Linked DNA regions of Oryzias latipes. Each later gene encodes a partner of the first gene's protein in a complex. Links are inferred from orthologs where the notes say so. Each region holds a gene or a part of one and is shown on either strand. Other genes may lie near its edges.

Region 1 (16,548 bases):
TAGTTGAACTTTTAATGTAAACTTTATAGTGTCTGTAGTTTTTGTTACTTTACTTACTTTAGAGGGTCTTCAAGGTCGCTGTCTACACTGTCAGCCTCGCTGTCAGGATCTCCTCTCCAGGTCTGATCTAACGCTAAAGGTCCCTGCTCCTCCTCACTAAGACTGTCTTCATCTGAAACAAGGAACGGATTTTTACCACTTTAGGAGGATCTCTAAACATCACAGCCATATATATTGCATTCAAACAAATTAAACCACAGTCAAAAACCTCAGAATGAAGCCAAAGTTTCTCACCAAGAACTCGGCTAGCTTCGGAGCGCCCTCCGTCCTGACTCTGCGTCTCTCCACGACTGTAGCTACTGAGCTGAGACAACAAAGCCTCTGGAGATGGACCAGAAGAAGTCTTCCTCATCTGCGCTCGGAGGGTCATGGCGCTCCTACGAGCGTGCTCCGCACAGAATGTTACTCTACCAAAAAAAAAAAAAATGTATAAATTAGGCTAATAGCAGCAAACAGACTGTTTATTACATGATTTTCTTATTGCCCTGTGACTGAGCTTCCACAGGGCAGAAATACAACTGCTGTTTCATTCTTTTGCCAGCTGATGTAAATGACCTTCCACCCACCCATCTTTCCTCTCGGCCTTTGGCGCAGCATTGGGGCAGCGCTTGCCATTCTTGGCAGAGACGTAGCTACACTGTTTGTATGGGGCGTTCTTGTCCTCCAGAATGTGTTTCATACAGAACTCCAGACCCTCCAAGCGAGGCTGTGAACATGGTCGCTGGGTGAAGGAGCAGACCTGGGGCTCCTGGGGTCGGCTTGCTTGGGTTGTCCGGTTACGACTTGAGGGTAAAACGTGAATTCGTATTCTGTTCATTTCAAGTCTGGGAAAATAAAGTAAATACTTAAACTAAGCATATTTCTCTACTACTTTAGAAATCACTTAAGAAACAAATAATCCAGTAGTATTCTTAAACCACAGAAAATAATAAATTTAAAGGTTTATTGCATTAAAATTTTACATAAATATCTTCTGAATCTTTGGAACATACACATCTTTTACCTCTTACTCTAGACACTTTGATAATTTGCATTTTAAATCTGAACCACAAACTTTGGCAGATCTTACATCAACAAGTTCTGCTTTTCATAATTCTTTGGTTCTGTGATGCTGAAAATAATAAATTTCTACTGAAAAAAATAACAGTTTAAAATTAAGAAGAAAACAAAAGCCTCTTCATGCCTAACCCTATTATCATTCAGAATGTTTTTTCCATTGAAAATGATGCTGATGCAAAAATAGTGACATACAGCATGAAGAGGTCAAAGACTAGATTTAGCCCAGAATAAGTATTACTAAAAAGGCTAAGATATCATACATACATACACTTAACCCTTAGAAAGAAGTCAGTGGTCTTTTCTGTGTCAAGACAAAAGAAATGTATTTTATTGAAAAATGAACCAAAATCTTAAGAATAAAAAGCAAAACATTACTTTAAGGGACCTATATCGTGCTATTTTTAAGGCCTTTCAGAGTAAACAATAAGCATTTAAATGATACGTTACCTTTGGCACAAAAAAAAATGATTTTTTTAAACGAAATATTAGGTATTTTTGCAGCTCATTTTCCTACCCATAAGTAACCCCCTTTTGCTCCATATGAGTGCCCCCCAATTCATGGCATTGACCTAGAGTGCGTTTCTCCCACGAAAACAAACAAGATCCAAACTTTTGCCTCACTTTGTTACATCACAATGTGAGAACCAGCTTGTTTTTGTGGATTGGGAGGGGCTGGTGCTCAGACAGCAGGTTTTAGGAGGAATACTCAGAGATCAGTCAATGGGTCAAAATACCGCCTTGTGGTTATTTTTTATAAGGAATGAACATTTTACTACACCTAAAAGCTCAAAAAAGTGATTTTTGAATAATATAGGCCCGTTGAAATAAAAAAAGACAAGATTTCTATAACTTTTATTTTTACAGATATGATTGCGGTATATTACATATATATTTTGGTAAATATATAGCCCAAAAAGAAGAAAGAAATTACATTTTTTCTTTACCCTTAACTATTTTTCAATAATTTGAATAAAACACGTTTATGTTAAACTGTTGTGAAAACCATAACAAGACAAAAAGGGGGATATTTAATCTTGACAAAGAAGCATCAGTAAGGCAAAATTGTCAAATCATTGCTCTCTTTCAACCACCTTTTCCCACCATGTCTTCTTTTTATTAAAATTAATTTCGTAATTCGCAAAATTCAACAAGAAACTGACTTTATGGCAACACGGACACCAAAAAAATAGTTAGATCCATTGCTTTCAAAATACAATGAAAAAATCAAAACACCTATAATCTTTTAATTGGCCAAAGTAAATCGCTAAATAACATAACATAGAAAAAAACTGATCGCTCTGTCTGAATATATGTGTATTGCTGCTCCAACATTAAACCACAGAAACTAAAAACAGGGGTAAACGTCCGACACGTTGGGTCAACCAGCTCAACAACAATAACGCAACAACAGTCACACAGAAGCTAGCCTTTTTAATTTTTTGCAGACAGTGTGTCAGTATGTATGCTTATGTTGACAAAAAATAAAATATTAATAATATAATATTAACAATAAGAAAAAATAACCCACTATAACCAAATAAGTAGACTTTACATACATGTAAATGTCGACGTAAACGTAAGTACGTCTGTTTGACTCGAACAACGCGCTGAAAGGCGCTCCAGCCCGCCTCCATCTACTGCGTCATCCTCTAGGCTAAGGAGGCGCCATCTTTGCTAGCCGGCTAAACCACATGCTATCCTTTCCTTTTAACATTTCCAGGCTATTAAATCAAATTCGAAAACATAAAACAGTGGTTTGTCTTCTACCATGTCATTATTAAAATGTCTCAGACCCAGAATAGTAGCAGAAACGCATCGCTTTTTGTGAAAAACTGCCTACCTTCCGCTGTGCAATATGCTAACTCTGCCGTTCCAACGACTTGCCTGCACTCCCTGAATCGTTGCTGGACTTTGTGTGATGTCAATAAGCCCCACCTCCTTGAAGTTGATTGGTCGAAATGTTACTCCAGGAGACGGTTCATTGGCTAGTCTAGATGTAACTCAAAAGACCACGTAACCGCCCTCTGACCGACGCAGTGAATACAATTCAGTTGAAAATGACTGATTACTCCATTAATTTTGATATTTAATATATTTATTGACTTTCAGAATAAAGCAACCACAATATATAAAAAAGATCAGTGTTCACATATACCTTTTTAACGAAAACAAATTGAATTCTAGACCTGAGAGCCAATAAAAACACCTGACATTAAAAAACATAACTTAGGATGTTGTAATTGTGATTTTTGCATTGTTAGGTTGCACACGTGTCTTGGGCTTGTTATATGGTTTTGCTATAAAACGTGTTTTAATAGCTTTCATGTATCCTTAATACTTGAATGTATTATTTCTTAGATCAAAATAAAGCATGTTTTAAATGGACGCACCAGAAATCCACACTATTTTTAACCATGAAAATGTAACACTTAATTCAACTGCATAAGCAGGAAAAAAAAAATTAAAATTCAGTGCATTCACCATTTCCCTGTTACAACCAAAAACCTTTACTGCCCAAGTAAAGACCTTTTTTCAGCACACTTTTAATTCATCAAGGGAAAACAATATCTTACATTAGTTTGGCTGGTTTGATGTACTCCAAACAGCTTTGTTTTTATAAAAACTTTTATAAAAAAAAAAAGACACCAGTTAGGAGCAGGTGGACTAAAATTCATAATAAGCTACATGTGTGAAATGTACAGGAGATACCAGATTTCTTGTCAACAAATTGAACTTTTCCACTGTTGAGCGCTTATACAAAATAGAAAACATTCATTTCTCATTATACTCAGGGTCCTGCAATGGAGGTATTTTTAACAACAATTTCATTTTACACAATTATATTATGCATGCAAAGGTTTTTGAGGAATGCACATAGCAACCACTTTAAATTATGTGCTAAAAAGTATCATCAAAAACCTTTACATTTCATGAAACAGAAATATATTGTCACGTTTTCCCCATTTATCTTGTTGACAAGTCCTTCATCATGACCATTATGGGTGGATATGTTAAACCTCTGACGAGTTCTATGCATGTCCTTAGTATGAAGTGTATTCATAGGAGAACTGAATATGGATATTTCACAACCATTTAAAACAATGACTGCAACACTTAAAAAAGACTAAATGTACAAGCTTTCCTTACTTTACATTTCCATTTTTTTTTTGGCAATTTTCCATAACAAAATGTCCAAAAAATATTCTTTTACACATACTGCAGTTTTGTTTTCATGTTAACCCAATAATGTCCATAAAATAAAACAGAACGCCCAGGGCTATCATTTCTATATGGCTCTTTAAAGAAAGAAAGAAAGAAAGAAAACTAAAAACTGAAGATGGCTTTGGAAACATGCACTCTCAAATGAGCCGATACACTTTTAGGACGTTTCTGCACTTACAGAGCAGAGCGGGCCATAGAAAGATAAAAAAAAAAGCAACACGTTTTTTTAAAAGGAGTCAATAAATAACTTATCGTAAAAAATAAAAACATCACAAAAAGATGTGGATTAAAAAGGACCTAAAAGTGATGGGAGACGGCTCGGGATTTTGAAACTGTCTCCCACCATCAGAGTTTATCCAAAGAAAATAGAGATATCTACACGTTTGCTTTTTGATTTTCCTCAAGAAATCCTTAAAATATTATTGCACCACCAATAAAATGCAAATCATAATTTAAAAAATTCACCCCGGTACATTTCTCTGCTGTCCCCCTGAAGCCTGCGACGATGTTGGGTGAGTAGAAAAGTCCAAAAAGTAAAACAACATTTGAAACATTGTACAATACACTTTTTGTAACAAAGTGGACGTTTCTGACGGTGAGTATGTGGGCTATTTGGGTAATGGAGGAAGTGGGGGAGGGGGTTCTGAAGGTAGGGGTGGGGGTCTGGGGTTGTTCCCTCTGGACCCAGCGGGGAACCTATAGTCTCCGTACTGAGAGCGGTACTCGAACATGGACGGCTGTGCCGGCTGGACGCCCTGAGCGCTCAGTAGAGAGTTTAACATGTCAAAAGTGTCCTGGTACTCGTTGGACTGGACCCCGCCCGCTGCACTGTGGCCATTTGTGTCCGTCTTGTCACTTTTGGAGTGCGAGTACGCCCCTTGGTGGTGGGAAAGGCCCAAAGCAGGAAGCAGGTCGGGTCCATGACCCAAAGTTTGTCCAGAGGAAGCGGACAGGGACGGTAGTTGGTATGGATTCCTGGACGACTTGCTGACTTTGAGGGGCGGGTGGGAGCCGGCTGCAGGGTCTGGAAGGTGCGTCCTCTTCCGTGAGGCTGAGGATGACGAAGAACTTGTTCTAGAAGAGTCATTGGGAACTTTTTTACTGCTTCCTAAGCCCCCACTTGTACTAGAATGTTTGTGGGAGGACGAGAGTGAAGCGCTGCTGGAGGAATGGTGATAGTGGTGGTGGTTAGAGCGCTCCCTGTGCTTGTCCCTGCTCTTACCATCCTCCCCAGAGCCTGTCTTTAGTTTGTCAGGCACTCGTATTTTGACTTTAATGTCTGCATCCTGACCTCGGTCACTGCCACTTTGCGCACTGCTGCCGCTGCCGTGTCCGCCACCGCTGCCCCCTCCTGACCCAGGTACTGGATAACGCACTTTTAAAGAGCGGTCGTGTCTCTCTTTTTCCAGGGGGATTTTCAAAATAATGGGCGAGGGGTTAGACATGTCAGAAGAAAAGCTGGACTGCTGGTGGTGATGCTGCTGCTTCTCTTTCCTCTGCTGTTGGCCGATGAGAGCCTTCGCTGCATTGGCATATTCTCTCTTGACGCTGTCCTCCATGTTCTCAAGCTTCCGCTTCTGGGCGGCTAGTACATCTGCGTTCTTGGCCCGGTACTCACTCAGTGACACTTTGGCAGGAGCGTGGACCTCGTGGTTGGGCGGTAGTTCAGTTGCAGACGCACCTTTCCCGCTCCACGTCTGAGCGCTCCCAGGTGTGACCTTGTCGCCCGCAGATGAGGAAGAGGAGCCCGATGGAGCGGAGAGGCTCATGAGTCCTGCCACAGTACTTTCTGATGAGACCATGGAGATCATGCTGATCATGGCGTCTCTCTGTTCACCTTCCTCCTGGACCTTGGGCTTGACCTTTGGGGTCTGGCCTCCAGCCTGAGAAACAAGAAACATTATTAGGTCAGAAGTTCCATTCACACAAAAAGAGAGCGCTTGGCTTTCAGCAGGGGAGCCCAATCGGATCCATACGTCAGTGCACGTATGTGCATGTTTAACCACACAGAGTGCCAGATGTGTGATCGACCAGCCCCCTCTGCCTGCCATTGCATAGGCTCTGCTGGCACAGCCACGCGCCGGTTCCTAGGGTGAATGCCACTCCAGATTGCAGGAGCATTTGAAACCCACTCAGGCAGCAGTGCCGTCCAGAAGCATGTGCTTCTCGAGCCCCACCCATGAACCGGGCACCCGGCTGGGCTGCTGTGTGCACTCTGCCGTTGCTCGCCCACCACCCTGAAGAAAGCCCGAGCAGGTGGAGACCAAGAAACTGTGGGCTCCGCTAGCTTACAGGCAGAAACAAAGTCGTACCTTCCAGTTCCGAATCCGTTTAAGCCGACTAGGAGTTTTCTCCAAGATTTGCAGAAACTCATGCGTGAGTTCTGCAAAAGAGTTACAGGCTACAGTCACAAACTCTCCAAAGACGGATTTGCAGTTCTTTACACCATTTTTGCATTTACAAAAAAGAATAGTTAAAAAAAAAAACAACAGGATTTGTGAAGTACCGTCCAAAAGCTCCAAAGTAACCGTGGGATCAACGTATTCCCACCAGTGTTTGCCATCAGTGGAGACGGGGATCTCCCAGTTGGACCACTTGCATGCAAGATGTATGCACACGCAGGCCACGACGGGGGGGCAATACTGCAGGCAGAAGGTGGTCAAATGCAGACTGGGTGGCAGGACGCACGAAAAGAGAGAGAGAGAGGAAACAAATCAGCCCATTTCCACATCAAAATTCCCACCGTAAAGCCGATGTGAAAGGAGGGCATACCTGTTAGTTGCCATAAAGTAGGATGTTTGGGCCAGATCCTTGCTGGCTGCAATAAAACCAAAACAAAGAAACAAAAAAAGACCTTAAAGTCTGCAAATTAACAATTGGAGGTACAAGTTGTTGAATAGTGCCAAATAGACGGCATTTTTTTTCTTTATATACGCATATTGTGGACAAGGTGCTCACCTCTGACGAGCTGAGTGCACTTGACAACATGAGTGTGAGGATGATCAATGGTGATTTCAAAAGCTGCCACAAAAAGGGGGACAAGAAAAGAGAAAGACATCAGCTCACTGGTTGCCAAATTAAAACGTTCAGGTTTATTTGAACCATTTGGCTTCCACTGGATAGGTAACGTTACCAAAGACCCTAAGAAAAAAAACAAAAAATGTGTAATTATTCAAACAAAACGCCAAGTGGAGATCAACGTTTTATGAGAACTCTTCTCATGGGATCAAACCTTGGGCAAAATCAAAATATTAAAACCTAATCCACACAAAAAAGTAGAAGGAAAATTAAAAAATGGCCCATCATTTTCAGTTCCTCAAACATGTTCTGCTCCACGAAGTTGTGAAAAAGCATTCTTAAATTTATATAGAAAAAAAGGACGAAAATAAAGGACTGAAATGGTAAACGATAAAGAGAATGAAAGAAATGCGACTGAACAGTGGTGGAAATGCTTCTAACATGAGTTGAGTATGTGTTTTCCAGTGCTGATAACCACATTTGGAGTTTCTGGAAACAGAAAGCTGCAGAGGTCATCTCGGTCAGGATGATTCTCTGGAGGGAAAGGAAGGGTCCCAGGTTTGCCTCCCAAACTTACCCAAGGTCTGGAGTATTATGCTCTCAAGAATGACCAGGTCTTGGGCTTGTGTCAGGTAAGCCTGAGGTTGAGAGGACAGGCATGTTACTCTCCCAGACGCCTGCAAACTGTTGTCAAACAAGAGTGTCTGAGCAGCTCACTCTGTGGTCCTAGAAATGTTCGTCCATTCATGTAAAAGTCCACAAAGCGAGCGCAGACACTCCTGTTTTACAACCGATAGACATCACATCACCTGGGTGACTGAAACCTACACAATCAGACGCATTTTGACCCTTGCTCTCTCAACCCATAGGGAGCAGCGTCTCAAAAAAAAAAAACGTCAACAAGTCGGTCAAGTGGTTGTTTAAAGTTAACATGAAAAAGAAACCAAAGAGTTAAGAAACTCCCCCCGCCCCTCCTCTTATCACAGAACCATGGCAAACATTGTTCTTTCTAGAAAAGAAAAACTGGGATTAAGTGATGCACACAATTAAGACACAAGAACTGAGAAGACAGCTCAATGAAATGCAGTACACAGGAGAGCAGTTCAGATTTACAAGCCAAGCAGCGCTTTTGCAGTTTTTTTTGAAATGCAGGACAGACGAGTACTCATCTCACCGCCGTGAGACACTTACATCGCTGCGCACATCGGGCGACGGCTCCTGAGGATTGAGACACGCATGGGCCACTTTAATGACATGTTCCAGCTTCCTGGGCTGCTCTTCAACCTTTGCAGCGAGGAAAAGTGCGGCAGGAGAAATCACCTGAGGAGGAGGTGATAAGTTGTGACTTTTATTTCCACCGGTAAATAAATCTTTAAAACAAAATGGTTTTGGACATGAAAACACTTACATTTCGGTGAAATCGGGTGAAGGACTGGATCATGTAGAAGCGATGCATGTACACGATGGCTGTGTTAATGGTAAGTTGGGAGCTGTCACGCCAGTTAAGGACCATTGGAAAAACTGTGCAATCCTAAAACGCCACCGGAGAGAATTTTGCTAAAGTGACACAGACAGAACGTGTATCCTTAAAGCTGCGGACACACCGGACACGCGATGGACATTCTTGAGTGTAATCGCAGCATATGGTCTTCGCACTGCCCAAGTAGGGAGGGGCTTCTTCTCTCTCTTTATTACCATTTGTTAGCACATGTCTGCCACCTACTAGAAGTTTGGTGCGAAATGTCCAAGTGGGGAAAACCTCACAAAACTTGCTCCAGGCTTTTTCTTTCACAGCTCTATTCCGACATGAAAGACTTGGTTCATAGAATTCTGGCTGGGCACAAACTCTGATAATTTCTCTTTTAAAATCATCAAATGGACGGTACAACCGTGAATCAAAAGTGACGCCATCCATACCCAACTACCAAGTCCGAGATTTACACGGACTTTTTTTAATTGGAATAGGCTGCATAGCACACGTTGCAGACATTAACTGTAAATACAAACTAGACATACTGACCCCTCCTCCCTTATGTTCCAAACAGGAAGTACCCCCTGGCTCCAAGAAGCCAAAATTCCCATAGACTTTTATAGAGAAATAGATGGCTATTACTCAGTCACACTGCTTGTCACTCAGAATAACAGTTCTTGCTCTGCTATATATATTTTTTTACAGGTTCTTGCAAATTTATTTCCTGGTCTTTTTTTCTTAATCACAATTTATAAACTGACCAATCAAATGTCTCGGTAAAATGATTTGGTGCCCACTGGCCCCCCATCTCCAACCTTTGACAGATTCTCCCAAGCCACTTTCCGTGGAAGTGGTGTGGAATTCAAACATGCTTAGGATATAAAAGCCCCTCCCTTTCTTCTTAAATGGTGTGCATCTAATTAGCCAGTCGTGGCGGTTAAAGAAATAAACAAGTAGGTGGTGCAGATTACAGTAGATTACTAGCTCTTGGGAGCTTTGTGTGTCCTATTCAGAGCTCTTCTGGATCGCAGTCTGAGCATGCCTCTTAATTTGAAAATAAAACGTTTAGCTTAGTTACATTCATATAAACAAAAAAACTAAGAAATACAGTTAAATCTGGGAATTCTTTAGCAACATTCACGTGTTTTATGAGCTTTCCATAACTTAGGATACCCTTTGGTTGGAGGGCCTCCTTTAAATTTCACCGTGAGGCCCCCCAGAACATATGAAGCGTCCATGATGAGGATAATAAAAATAGCCCATCATGATTTTTACCACCACACCACAAACAACGAAAGCCAGGTTGCAGTACAGTAGTATAACCTCAATCCCTCACTCACAGCCTCTGAAGAGGCTTTTCAAGCCTACAAATAAACAATTTTCCTAAAAAGTTGATTCAATTTCAATTTATACTATAACTGTGCTGTTTATTTTTTAGCAGAATATATTCATCTGTTCAGAAAACTTCTTCCTAGTCATTTGCGGCTAGTGAAGCTAACGTCCCGGACAGGCCTGTCGAGCTACAGGCCTTGGTGGACCCGGCTAGCCTGAGACGCCGCAGGGAGATGTTAACGTAGAAACAGCGACGGAAAACAACCGCCATTTAGTCAACAACACACGATACTAACAAATAAACAAGAACCCGTCGAACAACACAAGAAATACCGGCCACGCTCTTGGCCGAGCAGGTTACACTTTGCTGGCTAGCATGCTAATGCTAGCTACGTGCGACGCAGCACGACAAAAGATACACATTGAGCCGCTGTCCCATGTCCTGGATCAGGTTCGCTGCCTGTTGCCTGTACGACAGCTCCTTGTCGGGGTCTAGTCCAGCTCGCCGAGAGGGGTTGTTGTCGATCTCCTGCCTGGTGAAGTACCATTTATTATTATTGCTTGCAGGGAGAGAACGAAACGAAGCCGCCATTACTAAGAAGGACGAGAGTTTAAAATTTCTGCGCGTCACAGGAACATACGTCACAGAGGGCGCTGTTCCTCTGGTAACCGACAGATGTCGCCAAAACCAATGTGTTACTAGGCAATATGGGTTTTTGCATTTCCTTCACAGATTCTGTGTTGGATTTTTTGGATACTTTTTCTTCTCTTTTTTGCAGTGTGGTGGTATAAATATTACTCCATAAAGATACAGCCCCGTTTCATTCACAGTGCAACTGATTGAAGGAGGTTTTCACTCAAATCTATCTTTCCTTAATAAGTCTTCTTGTCCACTTCGCAGAAAACCAGCCCCAAAGCATAACGTTTCCACCACCATGCCTCACAGTTAGTATGGTGTTCTTGGGGATAAAACTCAGCATTTTTGTTCTCCTAGTGCTCCTCTGGATCAGCCTCTGGCATGATTTAACAAACATGGACATGTGCTGGAGGTGGACCATTGGAGCTTCACTTTCTGACTTTCTCAATCTACTGATCAATATTTGTTCCAAAACTCACCTGTGGTCATGAGCTCTGGGGGATGACTGAAGGAACGAGGTCCTGAATACATGAGCTTCCTCCATCGGGTGGCTGGGCGGTCTTGTAGAGATAGGGTGAGAAGCTTGATCACCTGGAGAGAGCTCGGAGTAGATCCACGTCTCCCCTAGATCAAGCAGAGCCAGATGAGGCGGCTCAGCCATCTGGTCTGGATGCCTCCAGAGCCCCTCCCTGGTGAGGCGTTCTGGGCATGTCCCACTGGGCGGTGGGCCCAGGGAAGAACAGGACACGGTGGAGAAACGATGTCTCTCAGCTGCGCTGGGAAGGCCTTGGTGCTGACTGACCGCAACCTGGGCAGAATAAGATGGAATGATGGATGGATGGATGGATGGATGAAATGATGGATGGATGGTTGGATGGACGGAATGATGGATAGATAGATAGATAGATAGATAGATAGATAGATAGATAGATAGATAGATAGATAGATAGATAGATAGATAGATAGATAGATAGATAGATAGATAGATAGATAGATAGATAGATAGATAGATAGATAGATAGATAGATGGATGGATGGATGGATGGATGGATGGATGGATGGATGGATGGATGGATGGATGGATGGATGGATGGATGGATGGATGGATGGATGGATGGATGGATGGATGGATGGATGGATGGATGGATGGATGGATGGATGGATGGATGGATGGATGGATGGATGGATGGATGGATAGATGGATGGATGGATGGATAGATGGATGGATGGATAGATGGATGGATGAAATGTTGGATGGATGGATGGATGGATGGATGGATGAAATGTTGGATGGATGCATGGAATGATAAATGGATGGATGGATGGATAGAATGATGGATGGAAGGATGGATGGATGGATGCATGGAATGATGAATGGATGGATGGATGGATGGATGGATGGATGGATGGATGGATGGATGGAATGATGGATGGATGGATGGATGGATGGATGGATGGATAGAATGATGGATGGATGTATAGATGGAAGAATGGATGGATGGAATGATGGATGGATTGAATGATGGAAGGATGAATGGATAGATGAATGAAATGATGGATGGATGGATGGATGGATGGAATGATGGATACAGCCATTGATGGCGTAGTTCCACTTAAAACTAAAACGTTGAAAACTAAAGCTACAGCACCCTGGAGGAACGAATCAATCAGAGCCATGAAACGTGAATGCAGGAGTGCGGAGAGGAAGTGGAGAAAAACGAAATTAACTATACATCGCAAAATTTTTAAAGAACCGCAAATGATGTACAACCATGCAATAAAAAAAAGCAAACTTGATTTTACAAAACAAAAATGATCCTAAAGTTCTCTTTAAAACAATAGACAGTTTAATTAAAAGAGACTCTTAAAGGTCCTCCACAGCAGCCTCAGATGCTGTATGTGAGAGTTTTGCCGACCACTTCAAGAGTAAAATCAATGCTATTAGATCTAGTCTCTTAACTCAAAAAGGTGTCGTTTTGAATAAAACTATAGCATTGCATTTATCAGAGGAAACACTGGAAAGTTTTGTCCTGGTTGATGCTGTGGCACTTGGTCAGGTTTTCTCCCAGTTAAAGCCAACCACCTGCCTTTTAGACCCAATCCCCACATCGTTGTTGAAAACATTTTATGACTTCTTTGAGTCTGAGCTTTTAAATATAGTAACTTATCGTTTCCCCACTTCAGGAGGAAGCCAGGTCTCTACATTCCATCATTTTTTTTATCATGGTGTGCGTATGAGTGTGTGTTTGGGGGGTTGTTGGCACTCTTTGTCTTGTCATCTTGTTTTTAAATTTTATTGTATTTTATGCACAGCACTTTGTGACATGTGTTGTTGTAAAAGTGCTATATAAATAAAGGTTAATTTGATCTACCAAGTTTAGTAGAAAATGTTTATTGCAAAACTGTAAATCCAACTAGATTCTTTGAAACTAAAAAATATTTTCCTTCTCACAAGTTCCTAAACATTTCTTTCCGTTTTTTGTCTCCAAGCTGTGTTCAAACAAAATTCAGAATAATATAAATATATATATATATACTTTAATCGAGAATATGTAAAAGTTATGTTTCTTGATGAGTGAAGTAGATTTATGTACTAGTTGAAAGTAAAGTATGAAAGAACAAGAACGCGTACGTTCGACTGCTCTTCACATCAGCTTTTAACACCATCATCCCGCAGACCCTCACCCAGAAACTACACACACTAGGACTGAACCCCACTCTGTGCAACTGGGTCTTGGACTTCCTGACAGACAGACCACAGTCTGTAAAAATCCGCAACGTCTCCTCCTCCCCGATCACCCTCAGCACGGGCTCCCCCCAGGGCTGTGTGCTGAGCCCCCTCCTGTTCACCCTGCTCACGCACGACTGCACAGCGATTCACCCCAGCTGTCTGATCGTGAAGTTTGCGGATGACACAGCCGTGGTTGGACGCATCTCTAACAACGATGAGTCCAACTACAGGCAGGAGGTGGAACATCTGGAGAGCTGGTGCAGAGACAACAAGCTCTGCATCAACGGGAAGAAGACCAAGGAGATGATCGTGGATTTCAGGAAGGACAGATGCCCCCCTCCCCCCATTCACATCGGAGGGGACGGGGTGGAAGTGGTTTCCAGCTTCAGGTATCTGGGCGTGCACATCTCCAGCGACCTCACCTGGAGCACCAACACCTCCTGCCTGGTCAAGAAGGCACACCAGCACCTGTATTTTCTGAGGAGGCTCAGGCGTGCTGGGATGGGGATCTCAGTGCTGACCTTCTACAGGTGTGTGGTGGAGAGCGTCATGACCTCCTGCATCACTGTGTGGCACGGCAGCTGCTCTGCGGCAGAGAGGAAAGCTCTGCAACGAGTGACAAAAGCTGCACAGAGGACTGTGGGCTGTAGCCTGCCGTCCACCACTGATATCTATACGACCAGATGCAGGGCCTCCCGCATCCAGAAAGACCCCACTCACCCCTCACACCCTCTGTTCTCCCTGCTCCCCTCAGGCAGGAGACTGAGGAGCATAAAGAGCAGGACCACCAGACTGAGGAACAGTTTCTTTCCTGAAGCAGTCAGACTGCTGAACTCCGGTTGATCACTGCACACCCCCCCCTCCCCCCCCTCTCCATGGACAACAAGCTAATTCCCAAGTGCAATATCACAGGGCTGTGCAATGCTTAACATAACATACTGTGCAATTGAAAAATACTTCTGTGCAATACTCCGTAACAGTCTGATATCATTATTGATACTATATTTATTTATGTCTGAATGTAAACGGCTGGCCCGGGACCAGAGAGCCTAATTTCGTTTTATCATGATAAAATGACAATGAAGTTTCCTGATCCTGATTCCTGAAAGTAAAGTATTTTTTTATGTAACTGGCAATTTCAACAAGATCAAAGTGGCTCAGTGAGACAGAGTTTGGTAGTTTTTGGGGTTAGGCTTCATTTAAAATAACATACATAATTACAATACATTTGTAGATATTTTTATCCTGACCTCATAAATGCTCAGCTCATGTGACAGAATGTAGAAACGATCTACCCCAACATTTTGCTAAGGAGGTTGAACTGTTAACCAAAATACTGATGTAAAAGGCTGATAAGAGGCGACTGTCCAAAAATTAAAAAGTTTATTTTAAATCACAAAATGTTATAAAACAGACAGATAATTAAACAGGCGTAACAATGGGACGCCCCCCCCCCCACCCCCCCCAAGGAAAAAAAAACAAAAATGAACAGGCAGATGGGTCAAAGTACAGAGAAATACCAAGAGTGAACCACAGCAGTCAGAGTTTGAAAAGAAGTCAGACGAGGAAACGACTTTTCCCGTGTTTGGGCCTGAATTTTTTTTATTTCAGCCCAATATTTTCCAGAGGACTTTTTTTTTTTAAGTTTTATTCCTCGTTTCACTGCACAAAAATGCTGCATCATGATCCTAAAACCACAGCAAATGAAACTTTTGAAAATCTCTAGATAAGCAGTTTACCTATTTTAGCAGAAGACTCTGACCGGTTTCCATGTTTGATAGAGTATTTGCAGAGGAGTCACTCTAACGCAGATCTGCAGGACTTTTATTGTGAAGAATTTGCAGGAAGCCTCGAGCAAATACTTGATTCAATAGTTTACCAATCTTTTTTTAGGGAAAAAAATAAATTTTTTAGGGCTTTGAAGACTAAATGTATTAGCAGACGTCTTAGTATTTAAGTGTACTTTTGATCAACAGAACTACCGTGCACAGCATCTGTCTGCCCTCCGCTGTGAAACTCTAGAAAACAAACATTCACACTTTTCCAAATCTTTCAGCGCGCTTCCTTTTCTTTGCCTGTTGAGACACAAAGTAGAAAAAGGCGACATTAACAGCCAGCTAGACTTGTATCATCATTTCAGACTTGCCCTGATAAGTGAACGAGACGGAAAAGTACCTCAGCATCTTCTGCTCCGCCTGGGGAGGCACTTGTTAGGATCCCAAACCGCTCCTTCCTCTTTTTCAGCTTCTCATCCTCCTCAATCTGAGGAAATCAAATACACTGCATTGCTTCATCCCAGTGACAACTGAAGCACACATCTAGTTTTAGTTTTTGATAACTTAGTTCAAGGACAGTTTCTTGAAGAAAAATAAACGTTAGCGCCACCTGGTGATCAGTCTCCATCAAACTTAACGAGGACAAAAAGATGATAAAAGTAATATACTTTTTACCAAAAACAAACAACAAAATATTGATTTATGTGCATAAACAAAAAGGTTGCATTAAGCTGGTAACAGAATGTTAGCATCATCAGGCTCAGGCTCCATAACAAAAAATAAAAAAAGAGATTCTGGCTCTTAGTCCCTAAATGGACTAAATTGGTGCAATCCTCAGACTTCCTCTGAATTTTCCATTTACAGGGATCATTGTAATAATTTGTCCTCATCAACCATTAGACATTTATATAAGCAAAAAAAGGCAAATATTTCCTCAAATAAAAACCAGTTAAATTGTAATCAATAGAAGAAGAGTAAACTCTGGCGTCTTTCATCAGATGCTGCATTCAGAATCCTGAAGGAAAACCAGTGACTGTGGTGAGGCGCCGAAGCTCTCACCTTCTGAGAAATGGAGGAGACGTTCATGCCGAACCTCTCCGCTCTCTTCTTCAGCTGGTCAACATCCACCTTCAAGAGAGACAGAAACGTTGACTGTTGGTCTGCCGAGGCTCCACAGAATGAGCAGAACGAGGAGCAGTGAAGGACTTACAGCAGCTTTACTGTTCACCACCAGGCCTGCATG
Region 2 (14,996 bases), on another chromosome or scaffold:
GGTTACTGTTTGTAATTTTATGTTAGATACCTAGATTGTCAATAAGTAAAAAAAAATGAAATAAAAACACCATAACTGAGGAACTTGTGAACAGAATAGAGGTCCATGCTGTTTGACAGATGTCGATACACTCAAATACATGAGCCAGAGGCAAAACTGGCACCACCCACAATGTGCTAATAAATTGCACTCACTCTGGGATGCTGGGCGTGATCTGTCAGGATGACAATATCGCCTAACACATGCGCGGCTTGGACTCTGACGCGGCTTGTGTATGTATAAAAGCAGTCAAACACGTGAATATGGGTGGGTGCAGCTTGTAATCGGGTGCGCTTTGTAGTCCGGAATTTACGGTACTTTTGTTGTAGTTGTTGTTTTTCAATTTTAAATTGATTTTTGTTCCTGAACAGTTGTTTGTTTTTGTTCTTGGTGTGATCTTCATTAGTTATTTCTGTATTTTGAAAAAATTTGTAATGTTTTTTTACAGTTTACATGTTTTGCAGACCGCATGTTTTTTACACTTTTGCAGCTGTATTTATTTAATATTTATTTCTTTATTTAATAAGAATCTCATTTTTGATAATAATTTTTCATAATAATTTTAGTAATATTTTTAATTATCTAATATAAATGTCATTTGTGATGTCCTTTATTGATGTTATATTATATAGATTATTTCTGAATGTTGTGTTGCTGCCACAGAAATGAAATTTCCCCATTGTGGGATTAATAAAGTCATCTATCTATCTATCTATCTATCTATCTATCTATCTATCTATCTATCTATCTATCTATCTATCTATCTATCTATCTATCTATCTATCTATCTATCTATCTATCTATCTATCTATCTATCTATCTATCTATCTATCTATCTATCTATCTATCTATCTATCTATCTATCTATCTATCTATCTATCTATCTATCTATCTATCTATCTATCTATCTATCTATCTATCTATCTATCTATCTATCTATCTATCTATCTATCTATCTATCTATCATTTATACAAACGCACCTTGGTACCTGATCCAAAATTAGCTCTGTTGGGAAATAGTTCATCTCTTCTGTGCTTTAACTCCTCTGAACAAATAGCAGTTGTTTATGGAATGGTGATTGCAAAAAAAATGATATTGACATTATGGAAATCTGACACTGTGCCTCTATTTAAGATGTGGCTTTCTGAACTCACCAGTGTTCTGCACATGGAAAGGATCCGATATGTTCTGGAAAATAAGCTAAAAGTATTTTTTGATGTGTGGCAGCCTTTTTTGGATCATTTAACCAAGTATAAAAAAGATACAACCCGCCCACAACAGAGTTAATTGTGCCACTTTTTATTTTTTTTATTTTTCTTTATTGCTTGGAAAGGATTTTTTCAAATTGCAGTGTAATGTTAAGTTTCCTTTATAGACTCTCATTTCTTGCCCTGGTTTTTGTGTGTCTGTTTTTTTTTTGTCTTTTTTGATTGTTTTCTTCCTGTTTGTTTTTTCATCTCAGTGGTTGTTCAAATGTATGTTGTTTTTTTTTTAAAACTTTAATAAACATATGTTTATATAAATGTGAACATTCTTCTTCAGGAAAGTTTAGGCTCCAACAGTCCAGCAGGCAGAAAATGCCTCAGTAATCAAATCAAATCAAACCATTTATACAAATATGCTTTGTTTTTCATGGAATGGAATGAGATTAATATAAAAACATAAAATTGAGAAAATAAAATTGGTCTTGAGCCTCTTCTTAAAAACCTCTACGGTCTCTGTGGCCCTGAGGTTCTCCGGCAGGCTGTTCCACAGGCTAGAACCATGATGGTGGAACGAGGCCCACCGTGAGTTTTGGTCCTCACCTTAGGGACAACAGGAAGTCCAGCACCGGAGGACCTCTGGGTCCCAGAGGGTTCATAGTTTAAAAGTAGATTGGTTAAATATGAAAACCCAAGACCATAAAAACCCTTAAGAGAATTTTATAATCAATCCTGAAGCACATAGGGAGCCAATGCAGCGATTTTAAAACCGGTGTAATGTGTTCCTGCCCCCTGGTTCTCGTCGGAACTCGTGCCGCCGAGTTTTGTAAAAGTTGTAAGTTTGAAAGAGATTTTCTGGATTAACCAACGAGCAGGGCATTACAATAATCTAAAGGACTATAAATAAAGGCATTAGCACCTCTGTGCTGGCAAGAGAGAGGAACAAGCGGACTCTGGTTTTTAGGTTGATGAAATCCTGTTTTCACAATGTTTCTGATGTGAGGAATGAAATTCAGCTCAGAGTCAAAAAGTACAGCCAGGTTTCTCACACATTGAGAGGGTTTAAAATAATGAAGATGTTGTAAAATCATCTCTCTCTTGTCTTCAGAACCGATGATTAAAACTTCAGTTTTGTTCTGGTTAAGCTGTAGGAAGTTTTCTGCCATACATGACTTTATATCAAAAATACAGTTTAAAAGAGTGTTTATAGGTTCAAGGTCATCAGGAGACACAGCGATGTAAAGCTGTGTGTCATCAGCATAGCTGTGAAAGTCAACGCTGTCTCTCCTGATGACATCACCAAGAGGCAACATGTACAAGTTAAAAAGTATTGGACCCATAATCGACCCTTGGAGAACACCACAACTTATTTCATGGATCCTTGAGGAGCATGTATCCATACTTACATAAAAGATTCAAGCTGTGAGATAAGAATGAAACCATTTAAGAGCAGTTCCTGAGAGGCCAACCCCACTCCTAAACTGGTGATCTACTGTTTTACAGGCGGCTCTAAGGTCCAGCAGCCCCTGAACAGAAAGTTTCTGAGAGTCAGAATTTCATCCAAGATCATTAACGATCATTAAAAGAGCCGTCTCTGTTCTGTGGTTGGTCCTAAAACTGATATGTTTCTAAAGTGTTTTGGTTATTTACTCATGTAGGGCAGGTTGTAGCGTTTACCTGGGATAGAACTCGACCAAGCATCTCCGCATAAACCAGAACAAAACTCCCCAGTGTTTCTTCTGGTAAAAACAATGCTGGTGATCTGGTAAAACCAGTGTATTACACAGATGAAATGTTAGATCTTATTGCATTGATTTGACCCATGAAGTGGTCTGCAAAGTCCTCAAATGCAGCATTACATGAAGGCAACCGTCAGCTGGGAATGGTTTTGAAAGGTGAGATCAAAGTTCAGGCTGAGAAGACGGAACCACTATAGTCAGGATGAAACTGTCTGTTTTAAAGAGGTATGGTCTGTTGTAAAAGGTCGTGAAATTATCAATGTATGGAATGACGACATGTTTTTAACCAGATGTGAAGCTGGCGGACGTGTGAGAACACGATGTCTCCATTACGGGGTGCAGGTCGTGGTCCGGAAGTGATCCAGTTTCTGTTTCACTGCTGGATGCTGTGAATCAGAATGATGATGTTCATTTCCAGTCTGATTGCTGCAGTTTCAGGCTGTTGGTGCCTGCATGTGGGATGAACGTCTCCGCAGAGGGGAGTTTACCAGACAGTAGAGGGCAGAGTTTTTAATGTTTGACGACCGCTCCTGAGAACAACAGCATGTGGTACCCGCCAACCCGGACAGAGTCTCCCACGATGAGGAGCAGCTGCTGCACAGGTCCGGGTCTCCCAGCGACGGCAGCAGTTTTATCCAACAAAAATAAAAACATTTGTCCGTGTGGTATTACTGTGGTATTACTTTCATGCAGAAACCCACAAACCTCATATACAAACAGTCAGGACCATAAATATTTGGACAGAGACACATTCTTTCTAATTTAGTTTCTGTACATTACCACAGTGAATTTGAAATAAAACAACTCAGATGCCATTGAAGTGCAGACTTTCAGCTTTTATTCCATGGGTTGAACAAAAAGATTGCAGAAAAATGTGAAAAACTAAAGCATTTTTTAAACACAGTACCTTCATTTCATGGGCTGGTAAGTAATTGGACAATTGACCTCCATGCTATTGCATGGGCAGGTGTGGGCAATTCACTTGTTATGTCATTATAGGTGAAGCAGATAAAAGGAGTTGATTAGAGGACTTGTGCTGCATTTTGAAGATTTTGCTGTGAACAGACAACATGCGGTCAAAGGAGCTCTCCATGCAGGTGAAAGAAGCCATCATTAAGCAGAGCAAACAGAAAAAACATGAAACCAGAAACTGCTACAGTATTAGGAGTGGCAACATCAACAGTGTGGTCCATCCTGAGAAAGAAAGAAAGCTCTGGTGAACTCAGCAACACCAAAAGACCTGAACGTCTACGGAAGACAACAGTGGTGGATGATGGCAGAATCATTTCCATGGTGACGAGGAACCCGTTCACAACAGCCAACCAAGTGAACAACACTCTCCAGGAGGTAGGTGTATCAATATCCAAGTCTACCATCAAAAGAAGACTGCATGAAAGTAGATCCAGAGGGAACACTGCAAGATGCAAGCCACTCAGAAGCCTCAAGAATAGGAAGGCTAGACTGGACTTTGCTAAAAAGCATCTAAAAAAGCCAGCACAGTTTTGGAAAAACATTTTTGTCATGTCTTGTCAAGTTCCTGTCAGTCTCTGTTGTTGTCTCGTGTTTAACTTCCTGTTTTATTTTGTAGGTTTAACTCACCTCTCGTTTCAGTCCTTCCTCTCCCTTCCCTTGTCTGTTTCCCCACAGCTGATCCTGCCTCATCATCCCCGATCGTTTCCACCTGTGCTTCCCCTCCTCATGTATTTATAGCCAGAGTTTCCCTGTGTCCTGTGCCTGATTGTCTTGTTTTCTCCTTGACAAGCCAAGCCTAGTTTATCAAGGTCTAAGAAATTAAAACGATCCAAAACTCTGCATCTGAGTCCAGTCCTGTGTTCTGCCTTGTGTCAGTACAATCAGGCCAGAATGGACTCAGCAGAGCGCAGCGATTTAACTTCAGTTCTGCAACGCCTGGAAGCCCGCCTTTCTCAGCAGGAGGACTTCCAGAAGGCCCTGGCATCTCACATGGTGCAGGTCTCCACCCATGTTCAGGATCTCCGCCAGGGTCCGTCCTGGGTCACCACGCCTCCGGGTGCTTCTGCATCCATCCCTGTTCCTCCCTCTCCCACCATGCCTGCCTGGACTCAGGAAATCAAGATAGCCCCCCCCCGATCGTTACTCGGGGAAGCAGGGACTATGTAAGCTCTTTCTGACAGACTGTTCCATTCATTTTGAACATTCCCCCCATGCCTTTGTGTCAGACAGAGCTCGGATCGCCTTCATGATCTCCCATTTATCGGGGAGGGCCCGTGCTTGGGCCATGGCAGAGTGGGCTCGCGACTCTCCGCTCTGTTCGTCTCTCATTGCATTCCAGGAGGCTCTTCAGACCACGTTCGATCCGGTGTCTACCAGCCGGGACAAAGCGCGGGAGCTGACCAGCATACGCCAAGGTGGGGACTCTGTCTGTGATTACGCCATTCGATTTCGCACCTTAGCGGCCGAGAGCGGGTGGAACTCGGTGGCGCTGTATGACGTATTCCTCAAGGGTTTGGCTCCGCGCATCCAGGAGCAGCTCATACCTTTGGACTTACCTCCGGGTCTGGACTCCCTGATCGGTCTGGCCATCCGCACAGACAACCGGATCCCTGAGGGTCCGCTGCTGCATCTCAATAATATAACAATTAAAAACAGATATCCGTTGCCACTTATGTCCTCTGTTTTTGACCAGCTCCAGCAGGCCAAGGTGTTTACCAAACTAGATCTCCGTAACGCCTATCATCTGGTCAGGATCAGGGAAGGAGACGAGTGGAAGACCGGTTTCAATACACCCAGAGGACATTATGAATACCGGGTCATGCCTTTTGGGCTCACCAACGCTCCCGCCGTGTTCCAGGCCATGATAAATGACGTACTCAGAGACTTCTTGGACCGATTCGTGTACGTCTATTTAGACGACATCCTTATTTACTCCCCCGACCTAGACTCTCACGTCTCCCATGTCTCTGCGGTTCTTCAGCGGCTACTGGAGAATCATCTCTCCATGTTCCATGTCTCCACCGTCGCCTTTCTAGGGTTCATAGTGTCTGCAGGAACAGTGGAGATGGATCCTGCCAAGGTCAGCGCCGTGATGGACTGGCCGTCTCCTGACAGCCGTAAGAAACTTCAGCAGTTTCTGGGGTTTGCGAACTTTTATCAACGCTTTATCCGGGGCTTCAGCTCCATTGCTGCGCCCCTCCATGCCCTCACGTCTCCACGTATGCAGTTCCAATGGACACCGGCGGCCGAGGCCGCCTTCCGAGCTCTGAAACGCCGCTTCACATCGGCTCCGCTGCTTACCCTGCCTGACCCACACCGGCAGTTCGTGGTGGAGGTGGATGCGTCCAATGAGGGGATCGGAGCCGTCCTGTCCCAACGGTCTGAACAGGATGGGAAGATGCACCCCTGTGCGTTCCTGTCTCGCCGTCTCTCATCAGCGGAACGCAATTATGATATCGGCAACCGGGAGTTGCTGGCGGTCAAGGTGGCTCTGGAGGAGTGGCGGCATTGGTTGGAGGGGGCCCAGCACCCCTTCATCGTCTGAACGGACCATAAAAATCTTGAGTATATCCGGAACGCTAAGAGACTTAACGCTCGCCAGGCCCGTTGGCGACTGTTCTTTGACCGCTTTTCTTTTACCCTCTCTTACAGGCCGGGGTCCAAGAACGTCAAGCCGGATGCCCTGTCTCGCCGATTCGACCCCGCGCCTGTTGCCAAAGAACCGGAACCTCTCCTTCCGCTGACTTGTGTGGTTGGAGCAGTGTCTTGGCAGATAGAATCAGAGGTAAGGCAGGCTAACGGTGGGGTGCTGACGCCCAGTGGGTGCCCGAGGAATCGCCTGTTCGTTCCTCCAAACCTACGCTCAAGGGTGATTCACTGGGCCCACGCCTCACTGCTTTCCTGTCATCCGGGAGTGCGGCGGACTATGCACGCCATCTCCCGGAGATTCTGGTGGCCATGCATGGAGCAGGAGGTCCGGGAGTACGTTTCCGCTTGTTCAGTCTGTGCCCGGAACAAGTCATCCACCGGACGACGCATGGGACTCCTACAGCCTCTTCCCATCCCTTCCAGACCGTGGGCGGAGGTCTCCATGGACTTTGTCACAGGGCTTCCCCTCTCACGTGGTCACAACACTGTTTTGACGGTTGTGGACCGGTTCTCAAAAATGGTCAGGTTCATCGCCCTGCCTAGACTGCCTTCGGCCAGGGCCACAGCTGACATTTTCCTGAACCAGATCGTGAGGTACCATGGTTTCCCCAAGGACATTGTATCGGACCGGGGTCCGCAGTTCGTGTCCCGGTTCTGGAGGGAGTTCTGTCTGCTCATCGGCGCTACGGCCAGCCTGACCTCAGGTTACCATCCGGAGTCCAATGGCCAGACTGAACGCCTCAACCAACAGCTGGAAACCGGCCTCCGGTGCTTGGTCTCCCAGAATCCCTCGACATGGAGCAGGCATCTGGTCTGGGTGGAGTACGCTCACAACACCTTACCCACCTCGGCTACAGGCTTCTCGCCCTTCAAGTGCGTCTTCGGCTACGAACCTCCTCTGTTTGCGGCGCAGGAATCTGAGGTTTCGGTTCCGTCGGTCCACGCCCTGGTCCGCCGCTGCCTTCCCATCTGGGCTGCCGCTCGACAAGTCCTGGAACGACAACGGGACAGGGTCAAGACGGCTGCTGACCGCCGCAGGCGTCCCGCTCCAGATTACCATCCCGGACAGAAGGTCTGGCTCTCGGCCAAGAATCTTAATCTACACATCCCGAGTAGGAAACTGGCCCCGCGGTTTGTGGGGCCATTTCCCATCACCAAGGTCATCAATCCTGCTGCGGTTCGTCTTCGTCTGCCCCGGTCCCTCAGAGTCCATCCCACGTTCCACGTTAGCAACATCAAGCCGGTGGTGGACAGTTCCCTGGTGCCTCCCGCGGAGCCTCCTCCTCCGCCCAGAATGGTGGGAGGTGGTCCGGTGTACACAGTCCGGAAAATACTGGCCGTCAGGAAGAGGGGCCGGGGTCGCCAGTTTCTGGTGGACTGGGAGGGTTACGGTCCGGAGGAGCGGCAGTGGATCCCGGAACGCTTCATTGTGGACAGGTCTCTCGTGACGGACTTCTTCAGGTCCGGGGCTCCTGGACCGTCAGGAGTCGGTCCTTAAGGGGGGGGTTCTGTCATGTCTTGTCAAGTTCCTGTCAGTCTCTGGTGTTGTCTCGTGTTTAACTTCCTGTTTTATTTTGTAGGTTTAACTCGCCTCTCGTTTCAGTCCTTCCTCTCCCTTCCCTTGTCTGTTTCCCCACAGCTGATCCTGCCTCATCATCCCCGATCGTTTCCACCTGTGCTTCCCCTCCTCATGTATTTATAGCCAGAGTTTCCCTGTGTCCTGTGCCTGATTGTCTTGTTTTCTCCTTGACAAGCCAAGCCTAGTTTATAAAGGTCTAAGAAATTAAAACGATCCAAAACTCTGCATCTGAGTCCAGTCCTGTGTTCTGCCTTGTGTCAATTTTTTGGACAGATGAAACCAAAATCAGCTTCTACCAGAATGACGGCAAGAGAAAAGTATGGAGAAGGCGTGGAGAAGCTCCTGATCCAAAGCACACTACATCATCAGTAAAACACGGTGGAGGCAATGTGATGGTCTGGGCGTGCATGGCTGCTAGTGGCACTGGGACACTAGTGTTTATTGATGACGTGACAGAGGACAGAAGCCTAATGAATTCTGAGGTGTTCAGAGACAGACTGTCTGTGCAGATCCAGGTGAATGCAGCCCTGTCTGCGCAGATTCAGGTGAATGCAGCCCTGTCTGCGCAGATCCAGGTGAATGCAGCCAAACTGATTGGACGGCGTTTCATAATACAGATGGACAACGACCCAAAACATCCAGCCAAAGCAACTCAGGAGTTTATTAAAGCAAAGAAGTGGAATATTCTTGAATGGCCAAGTCAGTCACCTGATCTGAACCCTTAAGCAGCATTTCACTTGTTGAAGACTAAACTTCAGACAGAAAGGCCCACCAACAAACAGCAACTGTTTGCCGCTGCAGTAAAGGCCTGGCAGAGCATTCAGAAGGAGAAAACCAGCATCTGGTGATGTCCATGAGTTCAAGACTTCAGGCTGTCATTGACAACAAAGGCTTTTCAACCAAATATTAGGAATGACCATTTGGTTTGCACTTATTTAATTTGTCCAATTACTTACCAGCCCATGAAATGAAGGGACTGTGTTTAAAAATGTTTTAGTTTTTCACATTTTTCTGCAATCTTTTTGTTCAACCCATGGAATAAAAGCAGAAAGTCTGCACTTCAATGGCATCTGAGTTGTTTTATTTCAAATTCACTGTGGTAATGTACAGAAACTAAATCAGACAGAATGTGTCTCTGTCCAAATATTTATGGTCCTGACTGTAGGTTTACCTGCAGCTGTTTTGTCATCCAAGGCTGTCTTCAGGATCTGGACCTGGTCCTGCTCCAGCTCCAGACCACGGACGTTCAACCGTCAGCATGTTACTGTGCTTTCATTTCCCCCAAATGTCTGCTTTTTATTGGTCATTTCAAACGATTTAACAATTGAATGCAGCTAAATAAAAAGAAGCGTCTTCAGAACGCCGGTCTGCCTCTGTGCTCAGACTTGGCACAGTTCAGGAGTCCTTCACACGATGACGGGCATCAGGACTGATGATCTCCTGGTTCCTTCGCTGTCCGTTTGTGTGCAGATGGCTTCAGCATTAAGAGGCCCATCTGTCTGCTGGACTCCTTCAGAATGGCTGCTAGTTGTTGTCATCCTGTCGCCACACATGCACCCCCTTCCCAGACGTGACAGTGGAGGAGCTTTGGAACCAAAACGGTAATCCATCATCGGAGCAGAACCGGCCTGTGGTGGTTTGATGGTTATGAACACGCAGCATACATGTGTGGAGGAACGTGCACATGTATGCACTGCACAAAAACCAAATCTGGACGGCAACTATAAAGGAGAATATTTACTACAAACCACAACTTTTCAAATAACATGAATGCCACTTAAAGCAGATACATGCAAACTAACCTAAAGACATAAACATAGGCAAGGCAAGTTTATTTGTATAGCACAATTTGTACACAAAGTAATTCAAGGTGCTTCACAAAACAGAAAAATGCATTAAAATCACAATACATCATAGAAATAATCAACGTAAAATGTACTTTAAAAAAAAAAAAAAAATTGAAAATTGATTTAAAAAGAAAGGAAGGAAAGGAAAGAAAAGTGCAGATAGGACCTTTCAGTCATATAAACGGCTAAACAGAAATGTTTTAAGTCTAGATTTGAACATGAACACAGAAGACGCCTGTCTTACGACTTCAGGGAGGCTGTTCCAGATTTTAGCTGCAGAATATTGAAACGCTGATTCCCCTTTTTAGTTCTGACTCTGGGAATCAACAGGAGGCCGGCCCCTGAGGTCCTCAGAGTACGAGATGGTTCATATGGCACTAACATGTCAGAGATGTACTTTGGTGCTCGGCCATGGAGAGACTTGTACACAAGCAGAGCTGCTTTGAAGTCTATTCTTTGAGGTACAGGGAGCCAGTGCAAAGACCTGAGCACAGGACTAATGTGATCATACTTCCTGGTTCTGGTCAGGACTCCAGCAGCAGCATTCATACAAACATACAGACACAAGCTGGAGCAGAAGAAACACCAGTGACCCAAAAAGGCTTTCAGTAAATCATTCATTTAAAACAAATGAACAATAAAAGAAACTGTTTGAAACTTATCCTGTCCAACAGCTGAAGGCCTCTTTGTTGGACAGATTTGACTGTTACAGTGGGGGTTCATGGATCCTCAGACAGACAGAGTATATTTATATAAACCCCTTTAGGATTTGAGGCTAAGCTTTATTTATAATATTCATATTTGTATGTATTCCTTGTTGGACTAGACGGAAAAGGAGAGAGAGAGTGGGGTGTTAGAGGGGGGGTAAGGGGTGGGGGGTGGGGGGCTGATAATACAGAGTCATAACATAATATCCTCAGTAAATTGCATGACTTAGTTCACACATCAACCAATAGTCTGCACACAACTGTTTACAGGATGGAAGTCTATTCATACATTCATGATGGAAGATTTATCTCACAGGACTTCTGCACCCAGACAGACACACACTAGATCTGCATTACCAGTATTATTGGAGGGGGTGTAAAAACAACCCCCACGCCCATATTTGTGCTAAAGTCAATCAGCAGTTACTGAGGCTTTCTCCTGCTGCCAGCTTCAGTTGCACATCTTGAAGGCGTTCAGCTGTGATGCCAGAGGTGAGCTGCTGATGCTGCATCCTCCTTCAGAACTAAAGGTTTTCATTCCAAATGACAGCTTTGTTTTGGAACAAACTCCTTATCGCTCATCACTTTACCACATCATCGAATCATTCGGTCCTTGTTACAGGGCCACGCCTCTGGTTTTGTGGTCACCTCCTGTTCTGTCCTTCGTCCTGGGAACAGATGTTCCAGTGTCGACCCTCGTCTTCTTCCGGTCTCTGAATCCAACGCCGCCGCAGCAGATCTCTGACCGACCTCACTCAGGAAGCCTTTTCCTGCAGCCGGTGGGTCTGCTGAGCAGCCCTTAGACTGAACAGCCTCTGCTCTGTCCGTCCTCTCAGGTTTGTGGCTTTGCTCTTCCGTGCACACGTCCATCCATGATGGAATAAAGACGTCGCGTTCTGATGCCGTCACGCTAAACGGTCTCATCAGAATCCAGCCGGGAATACACAGACCTACAACGGTCCTGTACTGCGGTCTGGCTCAGTCAACCGTTTTCCGGGTCGTTGGACCCAATTACCTTCAGGGGTTTCCATGTTTACGTGCTTCCACATGTAAACAAACACGTTAGTTTTCCTTCTGGCTCAATTGTAGAACATGCCACAAACCATGAATCCAGGTAGCTCCTCCCCCTCCTAAACATCCCAAAGGAACAATGACGGCGTTTAAGTCAAAAGCTCAGAGGGTTTAGTGTCTGCGGCTCTCATCGTCACTTCCTCTCTAACCGACTCACACAAGTAAAAACCACTTTCCTGCTTTGCATTCAGACGTTTCCATAAATGTTCACGATTGTGTTGCTTTATTACAAAGAACATTTGAATGAAAACAATCAGTTCAACTGAAAAAGCTACCAGATTCTGGATAAAGGAGCATTTCTGTCCGTTTCATTCCTGATCCCATAAAACCTGAACGTTTGATCATAACTGGCCTCACAGCAGAGTCTCCGGTCAAACTCGGTCCAAGACGTCCAGTGGGGCTAAAAGACTCGGTCGAACTCCGTCTGACTGGTCGTGGCCGGGTTTCGGTTCTGGTTGGGCTGCTGTTGGGGGATGTGCCCCCTCCGTCTGGGCGGGGCCAGGTACTCAAACATGGACGTGTTGTGAGTGGACAGCATGTTCTTGAGGTCTGAGGGCATGGGGTCGGACCAGAAGAAGTCGTGGTTCAGGGCGTCGTCGCTGTCTATGCGCTGAGCCGGGTCCAGAACCAGCAGCTTGTCGATGAGATCCAGGGCGTAGGCGTCCTTCACGTAGGCTTTGAGGCGGTCCTTGACCTTCCTCTTCTGGCCTTTGGGAAGCTCCATTTTCTGGTACAGTTCATACTTTTTGTCCACGCCGGGCCACACCTGGAGAAACAGAAATGATTGACAGCGAGCTGCTGCAACGCAGAGCCCCGCCCCCAAAGACCACTCGCCTCTGCAGTGATGGAGCCACACAGCTGGCTGATCAGGGTGAGCTGGTGCTGCTCCGTGTTGCCTTGCATGATGGGACTTCTGGTCCACATCTCCGCCATGATGCAGCCCGCCCCCCACAGATCGATGGGGGGGCCGTAGTCGCGCTCCCCTGCAGGGAAGGAGAACAGGAACGCGATTGGTTTCCTGTTGAAGCCGTCTGCTTCTCGACTCGTCAGCCTCTAAAGACCCGTTTCCCTGACGACCACGACGTTTTCAGCCATGTAACCTGAAACCCGCGTCGTTTTCCGGAACCGTTTCTGCAGGAGTCGGGGCCGCAAAAAGGGGCCATGCAGCATCTGGGTCGCATAGGAGCCCCAAACCAGAGCTGTGAAAAGTATTTACAGTCCGCATTTTTTAATTTTACAGCTGTGCACATATATTTACATGATCAGTGACAGACACTCCTCATGTCTGGAAGACGACATTTCTATTAGGTCTGGTTCTTCTTGTAACAAGTTCAAATGTAGAAACCGATCTACGTCTGAAGTACTGAAGCAGAAAGTGTCCGTTAAAACCTTTTGGTTCTCTTGTTTCTTCACTCCCAGCTCAGTCAATCCTCCATTCTGGCCCCAAACCCTGAATCCAGTCACGTCACTTTTTAAAAAAAATCATTTCACAAATGAACGACTGGAGTCGCGTCGTCACCACGCATAATATTACTACTAAACACTCTCCATAGTACTGCTTCACAGTGATACAGCACAAGATGGTTACCGGTCCATAAACGCACAGGAAGCTTTAGGCTCCAACATGTGTCACGGATAACCGGATGAATAACCGGACCTCTTGGTGTCGTTGACCCGGATCTGTTTTCTAGACTGCAACGCTGGATTTCTACCAGACATCCTGAAACACTGAGCCGTGTCCAAACACGGCTTTTATTTCTGATCCCCGATCCACACGGATCCCTGCCATGGTCCGGCACACGCGTGTACAGTGGCGTTCAGCGGTACCGCCGTGACCCAGTTTGAAGGCTTGTTGTCCTGGCGCCGTGGCGGGACAAAGACGCTGCTGTCTGTCCCAGTGCGACGGGCTGGTAGCAGCAGGGAAGGTGGTAAAGCCGGACATCGTTGCTCCGTTTTTAAATATTCTTTTGTCGTTTCCCAGATGAACCAGAAGACTTCCTGGATCTGGGTGGTTTTTTACAATGGGAATATCGTGAGTTCAAAGGTCGGTAATGTTTAATAAATAGACCTCGATGAACAAATGCTTGGATGTGATGTGTGTACAAGTACTTAAATATATACTATGAAGGCTTTTTTCTTGTCGTTTGGTCCCATCTTTCTTTTTTTGCTGATCTGCTGCAGATTTACTTTCCAACAACATAAATGTGAAATCACCAAGACAACAGCAGGAATGTTCCGTTTTTGCACAAAGCCCTGAAAGACGACATTCTAATGTTTAAATTCCACGTTTCCAGCGTTCCTCAGCGGTTTGCGGCGTTTACCTAACAGCAGCTCTGGAGGTCTGTACCACAGCGTGACCACGCGGTTGGTGTAGCGGTTCCCCTGGCTGTTCTTAGCCAGGCTAAAGGCCCGGGCCAAGCCAAAGTCTGCCAGCTTGAGGACTCCGTCTCTGGTGATGAGGACGTTGGCGGCCTTCATGTCTCTGTGAAGGATCTGAGAACATGGAGGACATGCCGATCAGGTCTGTTCATCAGGTAGGGTTCATCTAGGCCAGCCTGACTGTAATAATGAAGCTGTTACACTAAAACACGACAAACTACAACAGCTGGGGAGCCGTTCCTGTGTTTACGCTGCTGTGTGTCGTCCCACCAACAACAGGTCGACAAATGTTTCTACTACAAAAGCCAGGAACTCCATAGATGGTGGACTCTGACCTCATCTGTTCATGAAAACCAGCAGCTGATCTGAGACTCAAAGTGGAAAAGCATCAGAGTATCCGTGCCACAGACATGATCTGTTCTTCTATTGACTTTATCCACTAGAATCAGAGAAAAACGTAGAAAAGTATGAAATATTGACAAAAAACAGGCAACAAAAACTCCCATCACCCACAGCGGGAGGCTGAACTTCTGCCACCATTTCAATTGTGATGTCATGTTAAACTGGCCCTGCCACAGACTGGTGACCTGTCCAGGACGCCCCCCGCCTTTGCCCACACGTGGCCGGGATAGGCTCCAGCAGCCCCGGGACCCCGAAAGGGACAAACGGCAGAAGAACAATGACCGACTGAATGTTAAACCATTTTATTTTGCATTCAAAATGTTAAAGTTCTTTGACTTTTCCAGAAGGTCTTTCAAACTTTTCAAGGACCTAGAAATGACATTTTCCAAAACCTTTCCAGGTTCTTCAT

What was found.
Region 2: the proteins of ccnt1 (region 1) and cdk9 are in contact, whole or in part, in a crystal structure (PDB 3BLH), measured with the Homo sapiens proteins. The link is inferred for Oryzias latipes from reciprocal best matches to the Homo sapiens genes CCNT1 and CDK9. Residues at the interface, in NP_001231.2 of Homo sapiens: Arg5, Lys6, Arg11, Trp12, Arg26, Ile72, Gln73, Phe78, Phe89, Leu90, Lys93, Val94, Pro98, Lys99, Lys100, Leu101, Val134, Glu137, Ile139, Leu141, Gln142, Thr143, Gly145, Phe146, Glu147, Leu148, Thr149; in NP_001252.1 of Homo sapiens: Val8, Glu9, Cys10, Pro11, Phe12, Cys13, Lys56, Glu57, Gly58, Phe59, Ile61, Leu64, Ile67, Lys68, Gln71, Leu72, Leu81, Ile82, Glu83, Ile84, Arg86, Ile99.

What each region holds. Positions count from the first base shown.
Region 1 is NC_019865.2:25,911,586-25,928,133, reverse strand, and holds ccnt1 (cyclin-T1), read right to left. Parts: upstream 10,789-16,548; 5' UTR 10,755-10,788; coding exon 10,582-10,754; intron 8,850-10,581; coding exon 8,768-8,849; intron 8,680-8,767; coding exon 8,551-8,679; intron 7,998-8,550; coding exon 7,937-7,997; intron 7,363-7,936; coding exon 7,300-7,362; intron 7,172-7,299; coding exon 7,114-7,171; intron 7,012-7,113; coding exon 6,848-7,011; intron 6,725-6,847; coding exon 6,654-6,724; intron 6,225-6,653; coding exon 4,950-6,224; 3' UTR 3,197-4,949; downstream 1-3,196. Other genes in the region: kansl2 (KAT8 regulatory NSL complex subunit 2), read right to left, coding at 58-172, 295-467, 627-877; sarnp (SAP domain-containing ribonucleoprotein), read right to left, coding at 15,564-15,605, 15,706-15,792, 16,365-16,433, 16,516-16,541. UniProt on the Homo sapiens protein: Regulatory subunit of the cyclin-dependent kinase pair (CDK9/cyclin-T1) complex, also called positive transcription elongation factor B (P-TEFb), which facilitates the transition from abortive to productive elongation by phosphorylating the CTD (C-terminal domain) of the large subunit of RNA polymerase II (RNA Pol II).
Region 2 is NC_019870.2:30,283,466-30,298,461, forward strand, and holds the end of cdk9 (cyclin-dependent kinase 9), read right to left. Parts: intron 14,300-14,996; coding exon 14,128-14,299; intron 12,790-14,127; coding exon 12,641-12,789; intron 12,573-12,640; coding exon 12,207-12,572; 3' UTR 12,001-12,206; downstream 1-12,000. UniProt on the Homo sapiens protein: Protein kinase involved in the regulation of transcription.